Pelodiscus sinensis: one gene and its partner. Each later gene encodes a partner of the first gene's protein in a complex. Links are inferred from orthologs where the notes say so. Each region holds a gene or a part of one and is shown on either strand. Other genes may lie near its edges. The genes, in order: PTAR1 and YKT6.

The links.
Region 2: the proteins of PTAR1 (region 1) and YKT6 are in contact, whole or in part, in a crystal structure (PDB 6J7F), measured with the Homo sapiens proteins. The link is inferred for Pelodiscus sinensis from reciprocal best matches to the Homo sapiens genes PTAR1 and YKT6. Residues at the interface, in NP_001093136.1 of Homo sapiens: Glu31, Gly33, Leu34, Ile35, Pro36, Val48, Val50, Glu51, Lys53, Leu54, Gly55, Ser58, Lys135, Tyr191, His225, Ser228, Met229, His230, Val231, Ser232, Asp233, Phe298, Asp301, Leu302, Ser305, Tyr306, His309; in NP_006546.1 of Homo sapiens: Met1, Ser29, Phe30, Phe31, Asn83, Glu84, Pro86, Gln131, Asn132, Pro133, Arg134, Gln180, Phe184, Arg189, Ser193.

What each region holds. Positions count from the first base shown.
Region 1 is NC_134716.1:32,582,401-32,590,599, reverse strand, and holds the start of PTAR1 (protein prenyltransferase alpha subunit repeat-containing protein 1), read left to right. Parts: upstream 1-4,369; 5' UTR 4,370-4,416; coding exon 4,417-4,502; intron 4,503-8,199. Other genes in the region: uncharacterized protein LOC102457766, read right to left, coding at 1,089-1,220, 1,317-1,540.
Region 2 is NC_134738.1:4,525,430-4,533,360, reverse strand, and holds the start of YKT6 (synaptobrevin homolog YKT6), read right to left. Parts: upstream 3,332-7,931; 5' UTR 3,173-3,331; intron 2,368-3,172; 5' UTR 2,346-2,367; coding exon 2,242-2,345; intron 1-2,241. UniProt on the Homo sapiens protein: Vesicular soluble NSF attachment protein receptor (v-SNARE) mediating vesicle docking and fusion to a specific acceptor cellular compartment. Functions in endoplasmic reticulum to Golgi transport; as part of a SNARE complex composed of GOSR1, GOSR2 and STX5.

The DNA of each region.
Region 1 (8,199 bases):
GCTTAATACAATCAATCCTAGTATCTTTATACCCTTAACCAAACAGTCTGACGTCAGGGCATCCAATTACAGAAATAATCAATTAAACTAGGAAAAAACAAAGCCTTATCAACAAGATGGCGGACAGGTACGAGGGAGTACCTCTCCTCTCTGAATCAGCCTAATTAACACATTCCAATAGCACATCTGTCTTCGCCTGGCGCATGGGGTGATAGAAAGTTCACTCTGGCCTACGTGCAAAGACAAAAAGCTGAAATGGTTTCTGTTATACAAGATGGCTTCTAGCTAAACATAAAATAGCTTCTACAATATTTACCTGCACCCCAGTAGGTACTAGCAATTGCAGCTCCTGTTGGTTGCAGATTGCCATTTCCAGTCAATCAGAACTGTGGGAAGAAGCATGGACCAGGATACTGCTTCCCTCAGCTCCCATTAGCTGGAAATGGCGAATAGGAACTGCAGTTGCCGTGCCTGTGGAGGCACAGGTAAATACACACCAGGGCTAATCCTGACATACCGGATCCAGCACCCAGGCAGGTCTTTGCCCACCTTTGGTGCAGAGGAATGATCACATGACAGAGTCATTTCATTGATTTTTTTTTTTTAAATTTTTACTAGGGATGTAAAATCCCGGTTAATCAGTTAGCAAGTTAAATGTTAGATTAACCTAACATTTAACTGCTTAACCGACTAACGTGAGATCCTGGTTGTGGACCACTACAGCTCTGCTGGAGCAGCCCCCAGTCCACAGGGCTCCTGTCCCCATCACTACGCTGGGGGCTGGCTACCAGATCTCAGCACTCACAAGAGCAGACCCTATCCACGGCAGAGCAGGCTCCCTGGAGACAGAGGCTGCTTCGGATGAGAGGAGCCCCTGTTCACAGCAGGCTTCCTACAGGGCTGGAGGAGTCCCCTGCTTGCAGCAAGCAGGGAGGAGCTCCATCCCCCACCGATTACCAGTTAAACGGAATCAGTAAGCATCACCCATTTAGGCTGATGCTTACTGGTTAACCTTGCACATTCCTAATTTTTACACAATTTCATGGAAAAAGCTGAGAGAAAAAAAAATTTAAAAGATTTCAAGTTACCTTTCAGTACTTGCTGTTAAAGAGGTCTCTGGCACATCCTCTTCTATGTTTAATGTTGTGTTTCCATCTACTTCCTGTATTTTTCCTTCTGATTCCTTGCACACAACATCTTGATTTTCATAACTGTCATATCTATATTAAAAAGTAAGATGAAAGAAACCAATCAGAATAAAATTCACATTTCTCTTTAGATAAACATATTTGATATATATTAGATATATTACTTACAAATCCAGTAAAAACTTGGCAACTTCAGCATGTGAGAAGACATTAAGCGTTTCCCTAAGTGACATCCATCTTCCTATTTGTTCTCTTATACATATCCTTGATTGAGCCCTTTTTCTCTCAAGACTCTTTCTCCTCCTCTTTTTTTCTGATGGGGAATATATGGTGGGTCTACCAGGTCGTCTTGGAGGTGGTGATGGTGAGGATGAAGAGGACGAAGACGACATTTCAAGCTTTTAACTAAGAAAGAAGACTAAATGTTTAATTTATTCATAACATTTAATTTTAAACATCTGGCTTGTGGAATTTACATTCAAATTCTTTCTCTATGAGAAAGAATTATTGGACACAAATCAGATATCCCAAAAGGCAATACACAAAAAACCTGTTGGAGAACACTTTAATCTACCTGAACACTCATTAATGGATCTCCAAGTCACCATGTTGTTTCAGGCCAATTCCACAAGCCAAATACACAGAGAAAGATTGGAACTTAACTTCATTTACAAGTTTAATTCTTATGCAAATGGTATGAACAAGGATATCGGCTGGCTTGCACACTACCTTCCACATCGTATGACTTAACCTACCAACCAACGGAAGTTCTAATTGTTCTTATCAGCCTGTTGTAACTATTTGAACCATCTACTCTCTGTCTCTCTCCTTTTATTTTTTTCTCCTTTCCCCTCCTTTTTTCTCTCCCCGCCCCTTTCCTTATTTATTCTTGGATCTGGACTTCTAATACTCCAGTCACCTGAAGAAGTGGGTTGTGCCCACGAAAGCTCATGACTACATGTTTTGTTAGTCTTTAAGGTGCTACTAGTCTATTTGTTGTTTTTTATGTAATGCCAATATAAGCTGTTGACACAAAATCACATAATATGTAGTCCACTAGTTTCTATCACTAAAGACCGCTGAGGCATAAATAAAAGGCACTCATTTGTTTGTATTACATCTCAATAAAATGTTTCATATTTTCCAAGTTACGAAAAAAATAGGAATATGAACTTTACTGTCAAACATTAGAAAACAAACAGAAAGCTTACAAAAAGAATTTGATATCTATTTGGTATCCAAAGTAAGATTTTTAAGTGACCGATTTATCAAGCTCAGTGGTTCTCAAATTGGGTGCACTGCAACACCCTTTTGACAACAAAAATTACTACATGACCCCAGAAGAGGCAACCAAAACCTGATCCTGACTGCACCCCATTGCCCAGCCAAAGCCAAGCCTGATCCCACTGCCCTGGGCAGAGGGAACATAAGAATGGCCATACTGGGTCAAACCAAAGGCCCACATAGAATAAAACAGGGAATTATCAAGTAATCCTTTTCCTGTCATCCATTTCCAGCCTCTGAAAAACAGAGATTAGGGCAGGGCTGGCCTTACCATGAGGCGAACTGAGGAGGCCACCTCAGGTGCCAGACTTTGCAGGAGGAGGGGGGGAAGGGCGCCACTAAGACCCAGAGTGTAGAAAATTGTATCTGCTGCTGGTGCATATGTATTCTCTCTGCTCTAGATGCACAGAGATGGTGGAGTGCTGCGATGGAGGAAGGAGGGCACAAGAGACATAACAGACAGGCAGGAGAAAAAGTGGCATGGGGCATCATTTGAGCTCCCTGCCTCAGGTGCCAAAATGTTGTGGGCTGGCCCTGGATTAGGGTCACCATTCCTACCCATCGTGGCTGATCAGTATTGCTGGACCTAACCTCCATGAAATTATCTAGCTCTTTTTTGAACCCTGTTAAAGTTCTGGTCTTCACAACATCTTCTAGCAAGCAGTTCCATGGGTTGACTGTGAGATGTGCAGAAATACTTCCTTTTGCTTGTTTTAACCCTATTAATTTCATTTGGTAACCCCTAATTCTTGAAGACATTGTGCAGGTCCTTCGTCATCTGCTACACCAGCACTGCCACCTCCCTTGGGGCTAAAGAACTTTCAGTCTTGGGCAGTGGGAGTAGGCTTTGGTCCCAGCAAGTCTCAGGCCAGCCCCAGTGACCCATTTAAAACAGGGTGGCAATCCACTTTGAAGTCCAGCCCACAGTTTGAGACCAGCTGTTTATTTAAAAGACTTCTCAAATATAACCATAATCAGGGACAACATTTGAAGTCAACAAAGTTGACAGACCAGCCAAGTTATATTTTGAACCAATTGTAAGGACTTTTTTAAAGGGGGGGGGGGTCTCATCTCTCTTTAGGGAGGAGGATATTCTCTGATGGTATACTCAGAGGATATTCTCTGATGCCATGCATCTGATGAAGTGGGTCTTTGCCCACGAAAGCTTATGCTCCTACACTTCAGTTAGTCTATAAGGTGCCACAGGACTCTTCGTCGCTTTTGCAGATTCAGACTAACACGGCTACCCCTCTGATATCTGATGGTATAAGATTCCCCTTAAATCTCCTTTAAGCAGCATGGGAAAGAAGACCCCAAATCACAAGCCTGTGTGTCAATTAATTAAGCAAGCAAGCATGTATTATTACAAGAAGCAGAAGCTCTGCAAACGCTTATGCCTGTGCTCCTTAACGTCACCCACAAGACTCAGAGGAGTAGCCGGGGTCGTCCACATCACTTCACCCACCAGAGTTATCCCAGTGGCTTAAATGGGACTACTCATGTTTGCAGCAATAACCCCGTGAGAGTTTGCAGAGCAGGGGCCGCAGGCTGCGCCGCCTCCCTCCATCGGGGAGACACAGGGGACTTGGGTTTTAATTGTCATTCCCGGCCCTGCCCGCGCCGAGCCGCCACATGCTCTGCCTAGGGCTGGTGCAAGGGCGAGCTCCACGCCAGCCACAGCCCGGGGTGGGGGGAGGCCCCAGGGGCCCAGGCACAGGGCGGTTGGCGGAAGAACCCAGCCCAGTTGCTCCGAGTGCGGCCGTTGGCGCGCGCAGGGCAGAAGGGCGGAGCTGGGGCACCGCGCCCGGTTACCTGGCTGAGTGCGGCGCGTCCGCCTGTCCCGCTGCCGCCCGGGTTCCGCCGCCGCTTGCCCCGCTGTGGGTGGGCGGGCCGGGGTGAGCCGCCGTTGCCAGGGAGCGGCTCGTCCCTCCGCCGACCCGGAAGCGCTTTAGCCCAGCCTGGCTCAGCGGCGCGGCGGCCGAAGATGGCCGAGTCCCCGGAGGAGGTGGCGGTGCTGGTGCAGCGGGTGGTGAAGGACCTGCACAACGCCTTCAAGCGGAACCCCCACATGTGAGTGCGGCGGGCGGGCGGGTTGGCCGGGCGGCGGCTGACGCGGCCCAGCTCCGGCGGGGCCAGGCGGAGACCCCGGCGCCGACTTGGTCTCCGCTCGTCCCGTCCGGGGCAAGGCAGCATCCTCATCACTGGGGCCGCTGCTGCCCTGGCTGGGGACGGCGACTGGCCCCTCTCGCCAGCCCCGCGGCCGGGAGTAGGACAAGCACCCTCCGGCGCAACCAGCCCGCGAGACTTTCCCTTCTCCAGCATCTCTGCGAGCGCTTCACAGACACCCCCCCCCCCCCCCCTGCTAACGCCCGGCCTCCGGGAGGTGACCAGGCATGGCAGCTGCGGGAAGTGGGCTCCGGGAGCCCTCCTCTCTCGACTGTCTCGCCCAAGGTCGCACACAGGAAGTCAGCTGTGGCTGGCCTCTGGCTCTGTGAGCTCCCCTAGGCGCTGGGCCTGAATTGGGTTAACTTCTTTCGCAGGTATCAGAAGTGAGGTGGGCAAGAGGGACACTAGTTTTGATTCTGTTGGCGTTCCTAAACTCAAAACCACTCTCAATACTGTGAATAACTGTGAATCTCATTTCTGCCCCTCTATGCTTTTTGGCTTTTGTTTATCTGATTGCTCACCTTGAATAGGAGAGAATCATGGCACCAGCCCCCAGCAGAGCATGTGGCCGCTTGAAGAGGGGAGGACAGAAGATGATGATTAAAAACCAAATCTGTATCCTCCGATGGAGAGATGCGGCGCAGCCTGCAGCCCTTGCTCTGCAAACATTTTTGTGGCACTTGCATCCCATGATGCTAAACACAATACAAAAATCATAGCTCTTCCTATTGTTGTTTTTTAATCTCTTTGATTTGGCAAAATCTAGTGGATTATGTCACCTGGGTACTGCATATTGTAGTGCAATGTGTGTGTATTTGTGTACTAAGGAAAAAACAGGCTTCAAGTGTATTTTTGGTAAATGAATGGAAACGTTCCTTTCAATATTAAAGAAATCTAAATTTTGAAATAACAGTGCCTTCTTAAGGCCCCAGTGGACTCTACATGGCTCAGAGGTCTGTCCCTAGCATTTATAGAAGGGATGTAAAATCCTGTTTAATTGGTTAACCCGTTAAACAATGTTTAAGCAGTTAACTGATTAAATGGGGTGTGAGCAGGGAGCTGTTCTGGGCCAGAACCGCCCTCCATCCCTCACCTGTTAACCTTAACTTGTAAGCCTCACCTGTTAAACCTTTCACATCCCTAGTTAATACAGGAATTGGGACAGAAAAGTTCTGTGTAGCTCAAAAGCTAGACTCTTCTGCCAACATAAAGTGGTTCAGTAAATGATGCTACCTCACGCTCCTTGTCTCTTCAATTTCCTGGGAACTATCACAGCTACAATACCTCTCTTCTATGTGACAGAAATCCTTAGGATTACATAAATGTGGCTAGCAGTTTGGCAGGTAGCCAAACTTTAAACTACAACATATGGATATAGTCAGAAAGAAGCCTTTTTAAAATTAGATTTAGCCATAAAATTTCCCTTTAGGGTTACGAGGCATAATACACTGTAAACAGTAAATGTCTGTGTGTGACCTGTAGAAAGACTTCTGCTTCTTTTCACATTCTGTTCTGTCAAAGTTCCCTTTAATTTCAGTGGTAGCGGACTCAACCACTTATTCACTAAGAATGTGTGGCTGTTGCCATCTTCCTTCATGGAAAAAATAGGTTAGATGTAAAAGTCTGTGTGCTTTTGAGACTGACCTACCATAGTGTGCTTGTGTAGGCCCTGCAGGTCAAGTTAGATAGCTATTGGTAGTGCAGTGCAAGAAAGCTGCTGCTGCTGTTACAGCTGTTCTGTGGATAATCAAGAGACTTCTGTGTCCAATAGTGATAGAAATGTATCCGTGTTAGTCTGGTGTAGCTGAAACAAAATACAGGACTATGTAGCACTTGAAAGACTAACAAGATGGTTTATTAGATGATGATGTCCAAGATTGTCAAGCTGTGCTCCTTAAGATGAACATGGGCATATGGCTGATGTGCTTTGCAGATTCCCCACTGTGTTTCTCTTCTGCAGTGAGGAGATGACCCTGGCATATGCCTACCTTCAATCTGCTAAGTTGCAGCACCTTTTCTGACTCCTCCAGAATTTCCTTCTGAGATTCTGGCTGCAGTTTTCTTCATCCTTGTATACTCCATCCATGACCCCACCAAGTCATAAGACCTCCCTTTTAGCCTTGGCACTGTCCAAGATAAGACCCGATTAATGGATGGCTGATGCTAAACAGGGTGATCAGAGACTCTGGGTTTTTTTCTTTCTTTCCATGCCCTTTTCACACATTCAGAGTTCCTTTGGGCACTGTCCACCATTGTCCTTCAAAAGTATATCCATCTGGTCCCTTGTTTAGAACTTTTGATCCTTACACATTTGCATGGATGGGCCCTTCGTTCTGGGTGGGCCAACACCCACCCCTAAGAGAATTCAGGTAAGGTTATTGGGCACTATGCTCACAGAAATACAACAACAAGTAAAAGTCTAGGCTGGGTTGTTGTCTTTCATGTTGCATTTAAATTAATTCAAAGGGGATATTAGTATTTTATTTTATTTTTTTAGAAAAACATTTATTTATTTTGTAAATAAAAATCTAACCTAAGACTCATGTTCACTTGTCCTGCTGAGTCACATTTCAGTAAAGAAAATGAAGCTGTCTCAGCATACTGTGTCCTGTTTTTGAATATCTATAAAACTTGTAAAATTTATTGCAAAATATTTTTCTCACCAGACACATGAACACTTAAATTTGTGTATAATATGACTCAAGCCTAATGGGGTTGCATTAGCAAAATTATGCAAACACATAAGTGTTTGCAAGACTGGGGCCTTAGCTGTTACAAACAGACACCCTGTCTAGTTCAGCAAGCTTGCTGATGTCGAGTGAAGAGGAATACCTTTTCTGTGCCAGAGAGTTGAGCACTATCCTTGTCCTAATTCTACTTACCTGTTTTGGTTTTGTGAATATGATGTTAAACAAATCTTGAGCACTTTTTTCTAGGCAAAATTCATTTGCAGTATTTGGCTTGTGGTCATGCACTGGATGGGGATAAAGGAAATCTGTGGCTTTGCCACAGACTGCTTATGCGACCTCCATTAACTCAGTTACTTTGTCTGAGTTCCCCACCGATTAAATGGTAAAGTAATGGGTTTTTTTGCTTGTCTTGTCTAGTTTAATTCAAATTTGAAGGTTGGAAGGGACTGCAAGGATCAGCTAGTCTAACCCCCTACCAATATGCAGAATGTATTGTGTTTTTTAATCAGAGGTCTTCACTCAGTGGGATATGCCTCCATAGGGGAGCAAAGAGTATCATTTGGGGAGGTGAGGCTGAGACCCAGACCAGCCCCTATAGGGAGTGGGCCAAGAGCGTTGCCACACTCCTGGCTCGGGCCTCAGATATGTCTTTGCATCTGGGGTCCTGCCAGCTGCGGCTGCGGCTGGCCTCAGCTCCCAGCCTCAATTCCCTTCTCCCTGTCTTCATCCTCCCTCCTGGAGCTGCAGCCTGGCTTTGTGGTGGAAGGGGGCATGCACAGGATAAGAGGGGTGCAAGATAAAAAGTTTGGGGATCACTGGTCTAAACCATCCAAGGCAGATGGTAATCTAGCCTCCTTTTGAAATTCTCCAGTGAAGAAGCTTCCACAAGCTCCTGAAGCAATCTGCTCCAT
Region 2 (7,931 bases), on another chromosome or scaffold:
CATATACAACGCAGTCAAGTTAATGATGGTAGGGAAATCATTCTCCCCCACTGAGGTTTTATTAAATGAGTAAGAGAAAACTGCCTGTAGTTTGAGCCACCTCTTTACCTGAATAGGTCAGAACTAGGGGAGATAAAAGCATGACTTCCTGCCGGGGATTCTACTAGTGTTGATCAATTTATACTGAGGCGACTGTATTTTTTGAAAATAAGAAGAAACTAATTTTCTTTAAATTCTGATAAGCAGCCTGATGTAGAATGCAGTAATAATTACGGACCAATTGTATGATCTGTGACATTTTCCTGCACCTGTGATTTTCTTTCATTTCTGATGTTAAAGTCTTTTTGTAAAATTGCTTTAACAACTTTATTTCAGTTAGCTAACTGTAGTTTCCCCTTGTGCAGACTGGCCCAGCATCAGCTCTCATACATGCAGGCCTTCTGCTCATACAAAACAGGGAAATGGGCATAGGTAAAAAATATAGCAGGTGCACAGAAGTATGTTTGTTTCATGCTTATCTTTTAAAAAAGTCCCCTAGGACAATCAACCATCAAGTGAAAGCCCCAGCAGTGTAAGTGGCAAGCAATAGCTAAGCTTCAAAACTCACCTATTTTTGCTGTAACCTTGGCAAAGGAAGTAAAAATCTCTAATTGTGGTATTTCCCTGACCCCGACCCCTCCCTCATACACACATCAGAATGACAGAGAAGAACATTTACTAATGCTTTAAAAGTCACTGTTGGACGCACAGCAAGCATGGAACATTTCAGTGCAGAAGGCAAATATTTCTTAAAATCATGAGCCTTTGAAACCAGGAGGGTAGAAGGGAAGTTGTATTGCAGTTAGGCACTTGCTAATACAACTACTTCTTTCTAAAAGCTTTATGGGTATTACCCCATCTTAATGGTTAGGGGGCTGTGCTCGTAGTGCGGCAAGGCTAACTGATGTAAGGACTATGTGGGCAACTCTTCTGCAAGCACAGATCACACCTTAGCACTGAGAGAGCTGTGACTCACCAGGATGACAAGAAGCTGAGATTAGCATTTAGCTTTGTACACTCTGGCCTGACCTGTCAGCAGCATTCTCTGCACAACCACTCACCCTAAGCAAAGGGGACATACCAGGCATAGTATGTTATCACAAGTGGGAAGATACTATTGCTAAATACAAATACATGGATCACTACAGCTGTCACAGAAACCTAGCTGGATTGGTAAAGCAAAACCCACAAGTCATCTCCTATTTGTTTTTCAGGTCTCTGCATGAGCTGAGATGCTTGCATGCCTAACAGATCTTTTCACATCATCTACTGTATGGATTTCAGTACACATAAATACACAATCTCTTGTTTTGTATAACTCACTACACCAGCCTTACAAAAGTTCCAGCTCAGGCACGGATCTATTCCCAGATCTTTTGCTGTGATAATATTTATCTTATTTATTTAAGTTAAAAGGTCACTCGGATGCTGGAAAGCTGTATTACAGGACTGAAAATTCAATGAGGCTTTATTCTACCCATCTTAGGTACTTCTATGGGCCCCATTACTGTAGTATTTGTACACCAGAATACCTTATAAATACTTAATTAGCCATTGGGTGAGAAAAAGAGACTCTTCGCATCTCAATGCTTAGAACAACCACTGGGGAGGCAAGAAATCTGGGATGCAGATCCCCTGCTCCAATCGCTCTTTCACTATTTAGCCACAGAAAAACAGCTGTCTCAACCAGAAGGCCTGAGGGAGCTCCACAGCAGCCCAGCTCAGCGATTATAGCACCCTCCTAAGAAGAGGGAAGCCTCTGTTCAAATCCCTTTTCTTCATCTGACAGAGGGGACTGAAATCAGGACTCCCAAACCTCGAGTGCTCTGACCACTGGGCCAATTGTATAAGGTGGGTGATATGAAGATCACCTCCTCCTCTTTTCAGGTGGGTGGGATTTTGAATGGGATCTAATATAATAGGCAGACTCTGAGTATGCTTACTAGATTGGTTCCTGTACTCAAGATAGATGTTCATTTGCTTGTTTGTCCCCAGTCAGTGAAACCAAAACTGAGATTTAGGCAACCAAGACCTTTGTGAATCCACCTAAGGGACTTGCCTGGGGTCAATCTGTGGCAGAGCAGGGAGTTGAATCCTTGTCTCCCAAACCAGCCCACCAAGCCCAGGCCGCCCTTATTGTGCTGTTTGTCCCAGGCAGGGGATGGAATCCCCCAGGCCGGTGCCAACACCCCAGGGACCCACCTGGTTTTCTGGAAGAAGCTGAATGAGGACAGGTCGTAGGCGGCTTTCAGCAAGTGCACTTTGGGGTCGCCTTTGTAAAGGACACTTAGGCTGTAAAGCTTCATCCTGGCGCCTCCCAGCCGCCGCCTGAGCGAGAGGGGCAGGAAGGAGTCAGGGCTGGGACAAGAGACAAGATCCGACCCCTCCTTCCACCTCCCCAGCCCCTGCCCGAACCCCCCCCCAGCCCCATCGCTCCCTCTGCCCACAAGAGAACAGGGCTGGGCTGCAGCCCCTCCCCCCGCACAGCCTCCCCCCCCCCCCGCATTCCCTTCCCCCTGCAGAGCCACCCCCCCACACAACTCCCTCGTTCCCACCCCTCCCCCAGACAGCTCCCAACCGCCCCCCCCGCGCAACTCCCTCGTTCCCAACCCTCCCCCAGACAGCTCCCAACCGCCCCCCCCGCGCAACTCCCTCGTTCCCACCCCTCCCCCAGACAGCTCCCAACCGCCCCCCCCCGCGCAACTCCCTCGTTCCCACCCCTCCCCCAGACAGCTCCCAACCGCCCCCCCGCGCAACTCCCTCGTTCCCACCCCTCCCCCAGACAGCTCCCAACCGCCCTCCCCGCGCAACTCCCTCGTTCCCACCCCTCCCCCCAGACAGCTCCCAACCGCCGCCCCCCCGCAACTCCCTCGTTCCCACCCCTCCCCAGATAGCTCCCAACCGCCCCCCCCGCACAACTCCCTCGTTCCCACCCCTCCCCCAGACAGCTCCCAACCGCCCCCCCCGCGCAACTCCCTCGTTCCCACCCCTCCCTCCAGACAGCTCCCCAACCGCCCCCCCGGCACAACTCCCTCGTTCCCACCCCTCCCCCCAGACAGCTCCCCAACCGCCCCCCCCCGCGGCCGCCTCAGCGCTCGTTCGCGCGAACGGGGGGAGGGGGGAGGCCGGTTACCGAGCGGGTCCCGCCTCCCTCCTGCGGCTGCGGCGGTTGCGAAGACTGACGGGGCGGGCGGCGCCGGTTGGAAGGAGCCGCCGACCCGGAAACAAAACGCAGCGGCCGGAAGTCCCCGCTGCGGATCGGTGCCACGGGGCGCTGTGGCACTGCGCATGCGCTCGCCTGCTCCGGGACCCAGCCACTGAGCGTCCGCCTGACAGGGCCGTTTCGCACCGCCCCCACGGGCCGGACAGCCAATCAGCATCGCCCTGACAGGGGCCTCTCCTCCACCCCACCTCCCCGGGCCGGGTCGGGGGGGGCCATTCCCCAGGGGGCGGGGCAGCTTCTGGGGGGGGCCGTTCCCCAGGGGGCGGGGCAGGTTCGGGAGGCCGTTCCCCAGGGGGCGGGGCAGCTTCTGGGGGGCCGTTCCCCAGGGGGCGGGGCAGCTTCTGGGGGGGGCCGTTCCCCAGGGGGCGGGGCAGGTTCGGGAGGACGTTCCCCAGGGGGCGGGGCAGGTTCAGGGGGCGGGGCAGCTTCTGGGGGGCCGTTCCCCAGGGGGCGGGGCAGGTTTGGGGGGGGCCGTTCCCCAGGGGGCGGGGCAGGTTCAGGGGGCGGGGCAGTTCCCCAGGGGCGGGGCAGCTTCTGGGGGGCCGTTCCCCAGGGGGCGGGGCAGGTTTGGGGGGGCCGTTCCCCAGGGGGCGGGGCAGGTTGGGGGGGCCGTTCCCCGGGGGGGGCAGTCTCCCAGGGGGTGGGGCAGGTTCAGGGGGCGGGGCAGTTCCCCAGGGGGCGGGGCAGGTTGGGGAGGCAGTTCCGGGGGGGGGGGCAGTTCTCCAGGGGGCGGGGCAGGTTGGGGAGGCAGTTCCGGGGGGGGGGGGCAGTCCCCCAGGGGGTGGGGCAGTTCCCCAGGGAATGAGGCAGATTCTGGGGAGCTGACCCAGCGTGCGCACACATACACGTACATTCTCTTTCTTTGCAGCCAGAGGCCTGGCTCGCTCCCAGATTTTGTACACATGCGGTGCCCCCCCGGGGTAGGTGATCAGGTGTGCAGGCGCCCGAGCCTGTGTGGTAGAGTTAAGGTATGCCCCCTATGGGGTGAGCACCACTAACCTGGAGTCCGCCCTGCCTTACCAGGGTGAGCATTAGGGATGGAAAATCCTGTTTAAAATGTTAACTGGTTAAATGTATAATATTTAATTGGTTAAATTGCCCGTGGTTTGCTGCGGGAGGAAGCTGTTCCAGCCAGGCCGGGTGCCAGTTAATCCATTACCCTGGTAAGCACACGGGGAAGGCAATGCTTACCCGGTAATCAATTACCCCTTTACATCCCTAGTGAGCATCAGCATGCCAGGGTTGGCCCTGCTACATGGGAATCGGCCCTACTAGCAAGCACCAATGCATCAGCATGGGCCCTGCTTTATGGGGTCAGCACCTATAGTTCAGGATCCCACGGGAAGGCAATCTAAGGGGAAAAGCTGTTCAGGAGAGTTGACAGTTTTTCAGAGATGTTATTAAGGGCATGGGAGCAAACTGTGTAGGACTGATAAGTGCAGTGTGGCAAGAGGCCACCCTGGCTTAACCAGGAGATCTTCAATGATCTGAAACTCAGAAAAGAGTCATACAAAAGTAGAAACCAGGTCACATGAAAAAGGATGAATATAAGCAAATAACACATATATATAAGGGTGAAAGGCCAAGGCACTAAGCAAGATTAAACTAGTCAGAAATGTAAAGAGACCAGTCTACAAATACATTAGAAGTAAGAGGGAGGCCAAGGACAGATTATGTCCCTTACTCAATGGGGTAGGAAGAACAAAATGTTTAGTAGCAATTGAACATCTATCTTAATGTCAATGAAAATTAAGTAGGATCAGGGCTAAAATAGGGAGAAAATGTTAGATATTGCATAGATAAGTTAGACGATTTCAAGTCACCAGGGCCTGATGAAATACATCAGGAGATATCTGAGCCATTAGCAGTTATCTTCAAAAGCTCATGAAAGACAGGTGAAATTCCAGGACTGAAAACGACAAAAATAGCACCCCTCTGTAAAAAAGGGAAGACGGCCAACACAGGGAATTCCAGATCGCTACTGAGTAAACAATAAAGCCCTCAAGTTGCAGACATCTGAAAGATAATAAGGTGATAAGTAACCGCATGGATTTATAATGAACAAACCATGTCAAACCAACGTAGTAGCTTGCTTTGACAGAGTAACCAGCCTTGTGATGGGGGAATGATAGCTGTGGCACATCTTGACTTAAGTAAAGCTTTTGATAATCTTTCACACGGCCTCATAAGCAAACTAGGGAAATCCAATCTTGCCTTAGCTACTATAAGGTGAGTGCAGAACTAGCTGGAAAACTATTTCCCGAAAAAACTTAAAAAACAACAAAGAGTCTAGTAGCACCTTAAAGTCTAACAAAACGTGTTGATGGTATCATGAGCTTTCATGGGCAAAACCTATTTCTTCAGTTGACTGGAGTATAGTAAGTCCAGATCCAAGAATAAATAAGGAAAGGAGGGAGGGAGTGGGAAGAAGGAAAAAGGGGAGGAGAGGAAGAAGAAAAGAGACAATGAGTAGATAGTTCAGATAGTTACAAGAAGCTGTTAAGACCCAACCAGGAGGGGAGTTACAGCAAGGGAGGTTAACAGCCAAGGTGGAAAGGCTGGTCCCACAATGATCAGTGCTGGGTCCAGTTCTGTGCAGCGCCTTCATCAATGATTAGAGCAGGGGTGGCCGACCTAAATCTGAGAAGGAGCCAGAATTGGCCAATGCACCTTGCCAAAGAGCAACAGCAGCATGTCACCAGCCCTGCTCATCTCCCCACCACCACCCGCAGCACATCCAGCCCACCAGCAGCCCCACGGGTCAGTGCTGCCTCCTCCTTTTCCTCCCGCCCACTGGGATCAGCTCTGTCTCGGTGGGAGACACTGGAGGGGGAAGCAGGCTCGGTGGGTGTGACAGGCTCGGTGGAGAGGGTGGGAAGTGGCAGGATCCTAAGGGAAGGGCCTTGGGCAGAGCTGGGGGTTGGGCAGTGAGGACCCTCCTGGCCCAGTGGAAAGTTGGCACCTGTAGCTCCAGCCCTGGATTTGGTACCTATGCAAGGAGCCGCATATTAACTTCTGAAGAGCCACCCCTGATTCAGAGAATGGCAAAGAGACTGCACTTAACCCAGTTTGTGGACGATACCAAGCTGGGAGGGGTTGCAGGTGCTTTGGCGGACAGGGTTAAAATTCAAAACGATTTGGACAAATTGGAGACGTGAGCTGAAGTCAATTGGAGGACATTCAATAAGGACAAATGCAAAGCACGCCACTTAGGAAGGAGCCGCGATCTGCACACACGCAGAATGGGAAGTGGCTGCCCAGGAAGGAGCACGGGGAAGAGATAACAAGCTAGATGTCAGCAGTGTAACACTGCTGCCACACAATCATTCTGGGATGTATTAGCAGGAGTGTTGTAAACAAGGCGCAAGAGGTAATTGTTCCGCTCCATTATGTGCTAAGTAGGCGTTAACTGGCGCATCCTGTCCCATTCTGGATGCCACATTTCAGACAAGTTGTGATCAAATTGGGGAATGTCCAGAAAAGAGCAACAAAAATTAGTAATGCTGCATTGGCAAAGTGGGCCCCAGCCCAGAAAAAGCTTTTGCCCAAATGAAACTGAGTCTCTAAGGTGTCACTCATTGTTTTTGCTGAAACAGACTAACATGGCTACCCCACTGAAAATGATTAATGGTCTCGAACAGGGGTTCCCAAACTTTTTGACATGGGGACCAGTAAATCCATTCACAAGCTTTTGGAGGACCGATAACATTCATTTGCATACTTGCATATTCATTAAGTAATGGTGAATATTCAAATAAGTGGTTTCTGGTCCTCCCAAAGCCCCCAGTGCCAGCTTTAGCAAAGCTTTTGATACAGTCACCCACAATATTCTTGCCAGCAAGTTAAGGGAATATGGATTGGATAAATGGACTGTGAGATGGATAGAAAGCTGGCTAGACCAGAGTTTCCCAAACTTTTTACTTTAGTTGGAACCCATTGTTTTTCAGTACTGTTTTTTGCAGCCCAATAATATAAACGCATATAAAAAGAATGAAAAATGAATACATTTTCAGTGTTTCACCCAGCTGCATCCTCCGCCCAGCCTGGGCCAGGGCCTGGGGGACCTGGTGCCACATGGGCACTCCAGGAGGCGGGGGCAGGAGCAGATTGGGGGTAGGGTATCTGGCTAGGAGGGAGGGTGCAAGGAGGGGTAGGGTTGCCAAGTGTCCAGTTTTGTACCAGACAATCCGGTATTTGAGGCTTCTGTCTGGGAAACAAATTGAGAAAATACCAGACATATAAAATGTCCTGTATTTTCTAATTAGGTAAGTTTTATTATTATTAGGTGTATCAGTCCGTAGCTGCGAATTGCCTGGCTGGTAGATGTGCTCATGCTGCGAGTGTGTCTGCCAGCCAGGCAGTTCACAGCTTCTCGAGGGAGGGTATGGTGGGGAAGGGGGCAAAATGGAATCCCCGGGGCCGGACTCACTCGTGTGCCCAGGTCTGCATGTGCCCGGTTCAGTCCCGCTTCCCGCCAGCTGATTTGCTCCCCCCCCCCCCCCCCCGCCAGTTTCTCCTCCTGAACTAGCCCCGCTGCCCCTGTCCAGCCCTGCTTCCGGTGGCTGGTTCTACAGTCCTCCTCCCGATCTCCCCTGGCCAGCCACCCTGTCCCCCGTCCAGCCCTGCTTCCACTGCCCGCCCGCCCCGATCTCCGCCGGACAGCCCCGCT